Oryzias latipes: one gene and its partners. The protein of the gene in region 1 interacts with the protein of each later gene in a pairwise test. Links are inferred from orthologs where the notes say so. Each region holds a gene or a part of one and is shown in the gene's direction. Other genes may lie near its edges. The genes, in order: cep19, fgfr1op and calcium-binding and coiled-coil domain-containing protein 1.

Region 1 (3,347 bases):
AGTCCACAGCAGGAGCTCAGGAAGTTCAATGTGAACAGGAGTAAAGGTTTTCCCATCAAAGGAGGGCTTGTGGTAGCGACCATGAATAGGAATTGTTACTTTTAGCGGATTGGGAGTTGGTCCGGCATGGGAGGGAAACACGTAGGTGGAAAACTCTGAAGTCCTGTGGGCTGGCTCTTCTAGGTCGATAGCGGTATTAAACAACATCTTTTAGTGATAGAGACAGAAACATGCACCTCAGTAAAACACAAAAAACACCATTTAACATTAATTTGGAGATTTTAAATTCTCAGTGTAAATTAAACTTGAGAGATCTTTTCGATTCAACCTGCCAGCCACGTTGATGACTCAGAGATGCAACTTGATATGGGTCCACATAGACGTCCCTGGGCCACCTGTAAACCAACAAAGCTCTGACATCCGCCGGAGTCTCACTGCCAAGCTCAACGGTGGTCACCACCTCCCTGCACAGCACAAAGAAAGGACTCACAACATTTGAAACACTTGTTTCACTGATTCTGAACACGTGTTTCCAAGCACCTGTGAAAGCCCTTATGGCTGAGCTCCACATACAACGAGGGTTGGAGGCCTTTCAGGAAAAAGCAGGGCTCCTGATCACCATTTCCTAATAATAAACAAAAACGACGTTTAAATTATTCTGTTCAGTTTTTTTTTCTGACTTAAGCTTGTTTAATAACCTTTCATATGCATGTTCCACATTCCAACTGAGATGTATTTAGTCAGAAATAGCATTACCAATTAAAATGTATGGTTGAGAGAACTTATCTGTACATGTATCATTATATCATTCACCACCGTGTTTTCGAGGCAGGACGTTTTACATTGCTTACCCTCTTTGAGCAAACAAACACACGGAGCTGAACAGAAAAAAAGATAAAAGCGTAAATAGTACATTAAAAACTCCAGTAAAATGAGCACTAAATAAAATACTGAATGTTCGTTTATTCGAATCAAGAAAGTGTTTCAGGAAGTGTTTTGTGAAGGACCCTTAGCAAGCTTAGGATGGCTACAATTGTGCCTGTCTAAAAACACGTTGGCTCGCGGTTTTCATCCGCATAATAAACAAAACAAAAACTTTGACATGGGATAACAAATATACACATATTTAACATAACCATTATTTATATATACAATTAATTTTAAAGAGTAAACATTGAGGAATTCTAAACAGGCGCAAGCGAAGTCCTTCGTGTTAGCAGTTGGTGGTAGGCTACCGAGCATCAACACTTCTACCTCTGTGCTGCTAGTTATGTTATTTAGCTAAGTCGCATCGCTGCGCTAGAAGTGTTTAAATGAAGACCAAATAAATACATTTGGGGCAAAGGAGATGCGTTTTGAGGCAAAGCGATGCGGCGTGCGGTTTAACCCACCGTCCATAGTTTTAGTTTATGTAAATACGGAGACCAAAAAGCTGCGGAAAAGAGTAATACCCATAAGAAACTTTACAAAGCTGTCAGGTAAAAAAGCAACAACATTATTTTGTGATTTTTATAAATTAACGAAACAGTGTGATAAAGAAAGTACGATGATCCGGCCTTAGTCTTTCTGTAGCCCAAACCATTGCAGTGATTTCTTTTGGGGTCCTGATTGTTGTCGTAAGCATGATGATGCTGAGGCCTCCTGACATCAGAGCCGTCTAATTCGGATGATAAAAAAGTAGAAAAAAGTATTAATTTGTTACTTCTCCTTTCCAAATTTTACATTCATAAGTGCAGAATAAAAAAACAACTCCCAACTTCACCATATTTAAGTTCGAGATGCTCCAGTTTTATGAATATATAAAAAAAATTAATACACCCAAAGCAAGTAACACTGAAATAATTTGTGCTTTTTTGTTTGATAGGTAATCCCCTCCTCTAAGAAAACTTTGTATTATAAATATTATTATTATCATTATTTTGTAATCCCCTTTTATATATTTTAAGATAATTTATTTTTCTATCAGCATATTCTATTTTGGATATATTTCTGATTATTTTATTATTATTATTTTTTTCTTCTTGAAATGATTCAATAAGTTTGGATTGATGACATTGACTATCACTGCTGATGCTCTTTCTGAGTCTTTGATGCTGGATTTTGTATGCTTATGCTTTGTTCAATAAAGTTGTAAAAAAAAAAAAAAAAAAAAAAACATCAGAGCCGTCTTCCTCACCGTGTCTCCTCTGACTCCAGACTGCTGCATGGCTGCAGAGCAGCTGAAGGAGCACCCTCGGCACAGGGACTACCTGGAGGCGGTCTCCCAGGGCCAACTAGAGAAGCTTCACATCCTCCTCCAGGATCACCTACGTGGTTTGAGCCTGAAGCACAGCCTCTCCACCTTCCACCTGGACCCGGACGAGGACCTCAACAAACTAGATGACAAGGAACTAGCTCGCAAAAAAGCTCAAATGGACAGAGAGTTTGAGAGAAATAGGAAGCACAAGGATGATCCAGGCTTTGTTTATGACCTGGAGGTGGATTTTGAAAAGGCCCCTCAGGAGAACTGTAGCTGGGATGAGTCAGATGACGGATTTTAAAGCTCCCCGCCAAGGAACACCAACTCCAAAATCACACTAAAATAAAATCTCCATAGGCCTCTACATCTTCCATTTAATCCAATGACTGTAAACCAGAACACGTCAGAAGAAATTATCTCAAGCTCCCTTCTTGTCAAAGTTACCACTGACCGAATGAAGGGAAGTGAATCAACAGCAGCGTCTTGAAATGCAACACAAATAAAGACTAAAAGGACCGAAATTGTGATTACCAGTGAAAATTTATTTGTTATAAAATACAGAGTTGAAGAAAATACATAAACTTTGGTTCAAACATTTGTGGCTTACAAAACATGATTTTCAGTCAAACATTAGGAAGAATCTAAACTTCTATTAAATAAAATCTGAATGTATAGTAGTATTTCAACAATAAAACAAATCTCTTTGGAAACATTTCTACAAAATATTGACTTGTATAAAATATATAGTTCCATGGAAGGTTGGACAGTGTTTCCCTTCCATCTCTATTGGCCCGACAGACTTTTCAATGGTTACGTGTTACAGCAAAGGTTCATGAACTACAGATCACACCCAGCCTGCAGGATCATACTTCTTCAGGGTACTTTCTTCAAAGTGCTTGAATACCTCATATTCAGGTGACCGGAGACACCCACAGTACCACAATACATTCAAAAATGTCGTAGGCGTTTTGACTTGGACACAGTCTGAGTTCTAACTTTGTGCTTGTCTTGGTGTGAGCGAATTGAAAAAGAACAGAAGTAGTACTTGTTTTAAGCACCACATTTAACTGCAGTGTAAATGTTAATCCAAAGGAGGTAGTAACAAAAA
Region 2 (4,217 bases), on another chromosome or scaffold:
CAAGACACATGAAAGAAAGGTTTCCTTTCCTCCTAGTTTACCAAACATCACTATCAATAATTTACATTTATGTCAGAGATAAAGCACGACGACAAAATGGTCAAAGATGAAAGTATTTCCTCTGCTTTGAAAACAATATGGTTCTACTTCAAGGAATTTTCATTTATATTTTTTATTAGAACTTCAAAAGATCACATAAATTTTCACATGGATAGAACAGAAAGAAATACAAATGTAGACAATAATAAAATACAACATAATAAAATAAAATTAGAATTGAGCCTAGTACAAATGTCATAATATAATATTAAATTATGGATTGTTATACAGCATGTTATCTATCATGAAAATGGATAGTTTTCTTGCATTTTTGTTTATCATAAATGTCAGTGATTGAAAATATAATATCTCTTTATGAAATGTATTAAATAATAGTTTTATTGCTAAGAATCTGCTTTTATTAATGAAAAAATTACCAGATATTAATAGTGTTTTAAATGCCAAATTAAATAATTTATCACCAGAATTTACTCCAAATAATACGATGTGTTTTTGTAGCTGAATAAGAATAGGAAAAGGAGACTTTGAACAGCACCAACAAAAAAACTCCCCAAAACTGTTATAACATAACATATACAGTATACATTCAAAAACAGATGATCAAGTGTTTCTATATTGATCTCATAAAAATAACAGTTATTTTCTGGAAAACCAAAGCGTAGTTCATGGTTATTAAATGGATTTCTTTGTATTTTGCAAAAATCTGATATTTAATAAATTTAGATCTAAACTTGCACATTTCCTCTTATGTGAAATGATGAAACAGTTCTCTAACAAAGACTGTTTAATGAGTTTGAAAGTTTTGAATAAAGCGATTGACCATCAAACAACAGAGATGGAAGCTGAACTTGAACATCATGAACCAGACTGGAGGACATTTGGACCAAAGTCTGAGGGATTGCTTTGATCACATTGTTATATTGTTTTTCTATAATTTAATTTAAACTTACAGGAAACACTTTTAAATTAAATAATGTTTCCATTATAATTCATGATGTGTGATAATGACCAAATACCGTTATCAATCCAATTTTTGTAAAATATTGATTTGTTATCCCATAAAATCTACCAACAGTTACATATGGGAGAGTTGTGTTTAAATATGAGTTTCCTGATGATAAGTACAAGTTTAACAGAAAGATTTCTGTAGTCAAAAATCACATTTTAGCATGAACTCATTACCCCCTAAATGAGAGATCAACTTGACGGTGTCTGGAGGCTCCAGCTCCTCCAGGGCGACAGGGGGCGCTCTTAGTTTAACGCAGAAGGAGAAGAAGAAGAAAAGGAGGAAGAAGAGACACACACACACACCTGCGGTTTTCTGTTAGCATAGCTTCAGGTGAACATGTCTGCTGCGGAAGATGACACGGAATTGCGGGACCTGGTGATCCAGAACTTGGAGAATAGTGGAGTCCTGAACAAGATGAAGGTGCGCGGATCAAATCCAAACAGAACGGTTGTCTGGTTCGTCAGCGCTCTCTGCCGGGCTGAACGTTACGTTGGCTTTATGCACAAATCCTAATTTACGCATGCACAAAGCAAGAAGAATATGCATACACACAAATCCTAATTTACGCACAAATCAAGAATTACGCACGCACAAATCCGACTGAGTCTAATTTCTCTCCATACAAGGCCATCTAGTGCCCTGAAATTTAAAAGCAGTTTGGACACCATGATGCTCGCTATGTTAATATAAAAGATTTTCATAATCATTTACTGTTAAACCTGAAGGTCACTTTACTTCTGCTTGAATTTTACTTTTGCTATTTATTAAGTCTTTTTTTGCTGCTGCAGACAAAATAATTTCCCCATCGTGGGATAAAGTCTTAACTTATCTAATTACTTCTTCTTCTTTTTTTTTCAAACAGCGAAGTAAAAATCTCATTGATAGGAGTGTTTTGCGACGATCATTTATGAATCCACTGAGTTCTGAAAATGAAAACGTTGATGGTTTATTAAAAAAATACATTTAAATGCAATTTTTTCGCAAAAATTGTTCAAGCGCAATGTATTGTGGTCTTTATTTGCCAATCTAGTGAGCATCGAATGGACACTGGTTTTGTTCAGAGATTTCTGGGAAATTTCTTAGGCACTTGATTTTGGAATAGTAGATTTGGACAGCACATCAGAATGGTGAACACACTATATAGTGCGTATTGAAGGAATTTGGACAAAGCCTAAAATTCCAAAATCCACTGCTCTGGAAATTTCCCACAAATTTCTGCAAAGAACTAGTGTTCATCTATGTTAACAAGGATGGCAAAAATAGACCACTGTCAGGAGTCTTCCTGGATGCTGCACACCTGACTCTTATTCATTCAATCAACCACAGCAAACTTAAGCTCCGCACTGAGTGAAGCTCAGTGCAAAGTATAGTTCCTGCCTTCATTACTGTGCGTTATATCTGGACTTGATCTTATGTCTTCTGACCCTGACTCTGTTTGCCTGCCGCCTGCCCCGACCCTCGCCTAGATTTTGACCACCCTGTCTCTCCACTGATGATCTTATGCCTGTTATCAACTCCTGCCTGCTTGACCCTGATTTAGCTTTGTGGACTTTTAGCTGAGCTAATAAAGCTGCTGCACTTGGATCCAGCCGTCGGCCTGTTCTTGTCACAGACCACAATGCGTTGTGTTTGCACAGTTTGTCATTTGAAAAAGGTTATGTAAATTTAACGTATGGATTCATACGTTGTCTTTGTTAAATATTCAAATCTATTAGGTTTTTACTTCTGCAAACTGATGTTATAGGTGTTGTTTTAAAAAAGAAAAAAGTGACTCTGAATTGCATCAAAATCTAGATACTGGATGGTCCTGCACTTTGTAATCATTTAGGGTTAGGGAGAAGTGAGAGAATGCAGACATAGTCCATGCCTGCTGGAAAAATGTTCTTTGGACAGATGAGACTAAGTGATGAAGAGAAGACCTGCTCAGCTTCAACCAAGTACAGCATTCAAAGAAAAGATCCTTATAACAACTGTGCAGCACAGAGGTGGAAGTGTCATAGTTTTGGGATGCTTTGCTACTGCAGGACCTGGCCACCTCACCATCAAAAAATCTGTCATAAATGTTACCGTGTGTCAGGTTAAAAATTAAATGGATGGATAGATAGATACTGAATGACTTTATTGCCCCTCCTCCTTCTGCTGTACTGACTTTGTTTCAAACATTTGGTTAGAACTGAAGCTGCACTTTGAATTTAAAGAACTGTCAAAAGGAATGTTGATGGATTGGAGATGAAGGGCGGCTCTCATGCTGCTGCTTGTCTTTGCTCCTGCAGGCGGAGATGAGGGCTGCAGTGTTTCTGGCCATGGAGGACCAAGATAGACTGGAGGTGGGCCTTGGTCCTGAGTGGACTCTCCACTCTTGGCTCCTCTCTCACCTGCTTTTCCTTTTCGTCTTCAGAACAAAGTCCCGCTCGTCAATGAAAGCCTAAAGAAGTGTCTGAACAGCAGAGACGGTGAGTTTTGATGCTGTGGGCTCTGAGTGCTGGCTGCTCTAAGCCAACAAGAGGAATGGAATCAGTATGAACTCATCATGAAAAAGTTGGATAGAGCAGGGTCACATAAACCCACTTTGATTATTGTGAAAGGTACAACAGTTTAGGAGGGGGAAAAAAGTTTGTTGTCCTCAGTGCCGTCGTTTAATAATGTCGAGCCTCTGGTAGCCCAAATAATCTGTCATAATCAGAGGAGCACACGATCAAAAACCTGATCTGATTAAAAAAAAACTGGCTAATCATTCATCACACTGAGGCAGAGAGAGAGTAGGTTACTGATGTGAAAGAGGGGCGGGGAATGGCCATGCCTCTCTGCTGCTGCCCGTTGTCTCCTCTCTCCCCCTAGCAGCTACTCACCGGGTCCAGCTCTGGTCTTTAGAGTCAAATCAGGATCATCTTAAAGTGAATGAAAAACCAGATTGAACATTATGGAAAAATATTTAAAGACTCATCCCTCCTCTGGTGTCGGCATAGAGCCGACCAAAAAAACAAGGGTTTTCCATATTTTCCGGTCTTCTGCAAGAAGTATCCTTCAGTATCCTTCATATCAACCCCATGAGGTTTAACATCTCCTACAATGACGTCTGTCCACCAAGGACGGGGTTTGCCTTGAGGTCATTTCCAGCCCGCAGCCCCTGGATTAAACAGCAAAATGG
Region 3 (3,654 bases), on another chromosome or scaffold:
GCATGGCAGGCAGTTTGCGGTGTCGTATTAATAAAACAAAATTTCACCCGTTCATTGTAAAGAGATAATGTTATTTGCTTCATAATAAATGTTGATTTTTGTTAGTGTTTAATGTTCAACAGTTTTATAAGGCTTTCACCTAAAAAAGTCAGAAATCATCAGGCCTGTAAGGGTGATGGCTGCTGAGTTCATGATTAAAGTACTGCCCTGCTTTGTGATGTGAAGCCTGTGTTCTTTTGCTCTGCAGGATTTGATGGACTACATCTGTCAGCTGGAGCAGAAGATTGGAATGGCGGCCAGTACCAGCTGGGAAGCTGCACCGCTCGCCTCTTCAGGTAGTTTGAGCAGCACTTAAACTGCTGGTTTAACCTGCGCACAAAACCAATATCTTATCTTGAACTGAACTAAATGCAGCTCAGTTGGACATGTGTCGTGAAGATGGGTGACCTCTCTCCTTTTGTCTATGTGGCAGGCAGTCCTGCCAGTGTGCCATCTGAGTCTGAGGATGAGAGCCCGGAGCCTTTAGAAATCCACCATCCACCCCAAAACGTTGGACACTACAGCCTTTGCGAGCACGGCCAGCCCGACTCCTTGCACCTTGCAACACCCCCTCAGTCCCCCAAGGAGGCGAACTGGAGACTAGTGGTCATCAGCCAGCCAGCCCCTCTTTCCCTGCCGCATCAGGCCAGTGCTGGCACTCTCCCACACAACTCCAATTCATCAGAGCCATTCATAGCAGCATCATTATACGTGGTCATGCAGATAGGCGTGCAAACCAGTTAAACACGGGCAGTGGGTCGTTTGATTTGGACGTTATCTTGCGGAAGCAATTAGGTCCCTAGTTTGCAAGTTATTAGACTGTAATAGCTGCTCGAGTTAAGTGTTTGTGTGTATGTGTGTGTTCTTGTGGGATTTAGGAGGAAGAATCGGATTCAGTCCAGAATGGAAGGAAGGAGTACAGAGAGGAAACATCATTTTTGTTGTCCCAGCACACCACTGACGCTCTCAGGTACAACCCTCCAAAGAAATGACTCCTCTGTCGACCTTTTTATTTTAACTTTACCCTACAATTATTCAAACAAAAGGAAACAATTCTGCTCTTTTTTATAATTAAACATTAAAGTCCCACTCCAGTCATTTTTAATCTATTGTAAAACTGTTCCCAGTGATCTTTTAATTATGATTATGCTGTTTTTAGCTAAAGATTTTTTTTTTAATCTTGTTTTCAAGGACATAATTTCTGTAGAGCAGCAGTAGTTCATCAGAAAATTACCCCCGAGATGTGGGCGGGACTGTTGACATGGAGCAACCCCGCCCCCTTCCCAATATCCATCTTAAACTTCATTTATGCTCCATAAATAATGTTAAAAGTACATCACATGATGGTTAAAATTCACTGTCAGGTGACTAAAATAGTATACTTCACAAGAAGAAATTAAAAAAATATGTCAAACTGAAAAGTCATTTATCTGCAGAGAAAAGCTTCATTAGGAAAACATTACAGTAGATTGGCATTCTTCTTGCAGTACAGCTAGAGGTACTCTAAATGCTATAGGTAGACTGTTCTAGTCCTACTTACTCATTTATTTCTTAAGCACAGCCTTTAGCATATGAATGCTGAAATGTCAGAAATGATCTAACAGTTTCATAAGCTGCTAGTGTTATAGCCTCTGAAAGGCAGAAAGGATGGCTTGTCAGCCCTCTCAGTACGCTGAAGGATATTCCCCTCAATAAAGAGTGAAGGATCACCAGGCGCAGAGCTGGAATGACCGCAACACCTTGAACACAGGTGAAGATTTAGTGTTCAGAGAAATTCAGATTTGCATTTGAAAACTTCCCTGACGTCAGACAATTAGCGTCTCTCCTTTGTCACGGTGGCTGGTTTTTAACAGCAGCGACGTGTCATATTTTATGAGCTCGTGACTTGATTTGTGTGTACACTTTTTAAGTCTGCGAGCATCTTGAGAACAAAGCCGCCCTCTAAATGGAGTGGAGTAAGAAATGCTCTCTTCTTTTCGGGGATGTGGATAAGTTGAAGCAAAAATCTCTTTCAAATTTAGAAACTTTAAACCTCACAAAGCACAGTACGCGAGTCCTCTGTCACTTTCCATCTCTGCGCTCAGAAAAAGGCAACGCTTTTGAATGCACTCACACCAATGCAACCCGTTATTTACGGTGACTGTGGCTCGGAGATGGAAGTTTTGAATATGTGGTTGTAAAAGAAGTGGAGTCAGGGTGACGTGGGGGAGACCGTTTTAGACAGGGGGCGTAGGACGGGAAAGATGGGAGGACACAGGGACAGACAAGTTGACAGGGAGCTCTTGTGATGATTTACCTGACAGGTGGACCGCAGTCATGGGCCAATTTTCAGCATCATTAAGACTCTCCCTCTCCCACTCAGCCTCTCATCCTTTTTCAATCACAATGTGGGTTTATTTCCCTTTTTTTTTTTTTATTTAACATGCACGCTTTCTTCTTTGTGTCTTTCTCCAGCAATATGGCTGACACTTTGCTATGGTAACAGCCAACCACAGGAGATGGGCATCCGGACTTCAAGTTTCTTCTCCTCTGATGTCCGTTTATAGTCCCCGTTCGTTCAAAACGAAGGTTTTAATCTGCAGTTCCAACATATCAAACTTCTCAGATTTCCTTTTTCTTTCCCTCATAACTGTTGTGTTATTACCTTGGCTCTTTTTGCCAGTGGTGTCAGGTGAGCTTTTTTATTTTCTACGGTTGACACAAGAAACCGGAGCAACCAGCTCCGGGGCTGGGACCCTGTCGTTTGAGAGTTTGCACACCGTAGCACAATGATTATTGTTGAATCATTGTTATGTGGAGAGCTTTACGATAGATGTTATGTCATTTTTATGGCAATCGTGATTAAGAGTCGCGACAGGCACTGTAATAACAATGTTTTGTGCAGGACCGGCTTCGGTGAAAATCACAAGAATCCAGCATTAAATTCTGTACGGCTCCTTCAGACACTTTTTAAAGCATCGTGAAGTAATGATGCCGCGTCATGCTTAAATATACTGCAATAACGTTGATCTAAGACACCATATTTCTCTCTTATTTTCTTCAGAACCAAGATTTGATATGCACTTTCTTGAAGGCATAAGTAGTTGATTGTAGCAGCAGAAGTGATTTAAGAGAAGTGGACGGGGTTTTGAACCACAGCTTCCTAAGCTGACTGTGTAATTGTAGACGTCACACAGCTTTACACATCAAAATGATCTTAGAAGCCTTTCGCTATAGATCAAATGCAATTTATATTTGTTAATAAAAGAGACTCTTTTAACAACTACTACAATCCTTAAGGTGTGTATTTGAATGCTTAACTTCAGCTTAATTCACTGATTCACCCATGCAGTTCTAGATGTGTGCCGAAAGCTGTAAGCCGGATTTAAGGCGATGCGCTGCCTATTAAGAAATGTTGCCTGTGTTCAATCAATACCTTATGCATTTTTTAATGTTTTTTAGTCAAAGTTTAGCTGCAGTTAAAGCATATTCAGGTTAGGTTTGTAATAGATGTGCGTGGATTGTGGAACAGCAGCTTCCTTGCTAGGCTAAGAAATCTGACTATAGATGCCTAGATGCTTAATTTTACCTGCTGTTTTGCACACTGTTTTTATTCTAGGAGTGTTTTTAGATTAA

Evidence for each region.
Region 2: the proteins of cep19 (region 1) and fgfr1op interact in binary tests that used the Homo sapiens proteins (3 or more experiments, as listed by UniProt). The two-hybrid records come from large-scale screens. The link is inferred for Oryzias latipes from reciprocal best matches to the Homo sapiens genes CEP19 and CEP43.
Region 3: the proteins of cep19 (region 1) and calcium-binding and coiled-coil domain-containing protein 1 interact in binary tests that used the Homo sapiens proteins (3 or more experiments, as listed by UniProt). The two-hybrid records come from large-scale screens. The link is inferred for Oryzias latipes from reciprocal best matches to the Homo sapiens genes CEP19 and CALCOCO1.

The regions. Positions count from the first base shown.
Region 1 is NC_019862.2:3,243,708-3,247,054, reverse strand, and holds cep19 (centrosomal protein of 19 kDa), read left to right. Parts: upstream 1-1,246; 5' UTR 1,247-1,348; coding exon 1,349-1,478; exon of another isoform or gene 1,479-1,504; intron 1,505-2,196; coding exon 2,197-2,540; 3' UTR 2,541-2,808; downstream 2,809-3,347. Other genes in the region: pigx (phosphatidylinositol-glycan biosynthesis class X protein), read right to left, coding at 1-207, 329-464, 541-625, 852-915. UniProt on the Homo sapiens protein: Required for ciliation. Recruits the RABL2B GTPase to the ciliary base to initiate ciliation.
Region 2 is NC_019882.2:22,955,298-22,959,514, forward strand, and holds the start of fgfr1op (FGFR1 oncogene partner), read left to right. Parts: upstream 1-1,335; 5' UTR 1,336-1,405; coding exon 1,406-1,489; intron 1,490-3,342; coding exon 3,343-3,396; intron 3,397-3,467; coding exon 3,468-3,522; intron 3,523-4,217. UniProt on the Homo sapiens protein: Required for anchoring microtubules to the centrosomes. Required for ciliation.
Region 3 is NC_019865.2:12,635,003-12,638,656, reverse strand, and holds part of calcium-binding and coiled-coil domain-containing protein 1, read left to right. Parts: intron 1-247; coding exon 248-335; intron 336-472; coding exon 473-684; intron 685-917; coding exon 918-1,009; intron 1,010-2,493; coding exon 2,494-2,521; 3' UTR 2,522-3,654. UniProt on the Homo sapiens protein: Functions as a coactivator for aryl hydrocarbon and nuclear receptors (NR). Recruited to promoters through its contact with the N-terminal basic helix-loop-helix-Per-Arnt-Sim (PAS) domain of transcription factors or coactivators, such as NCOA2.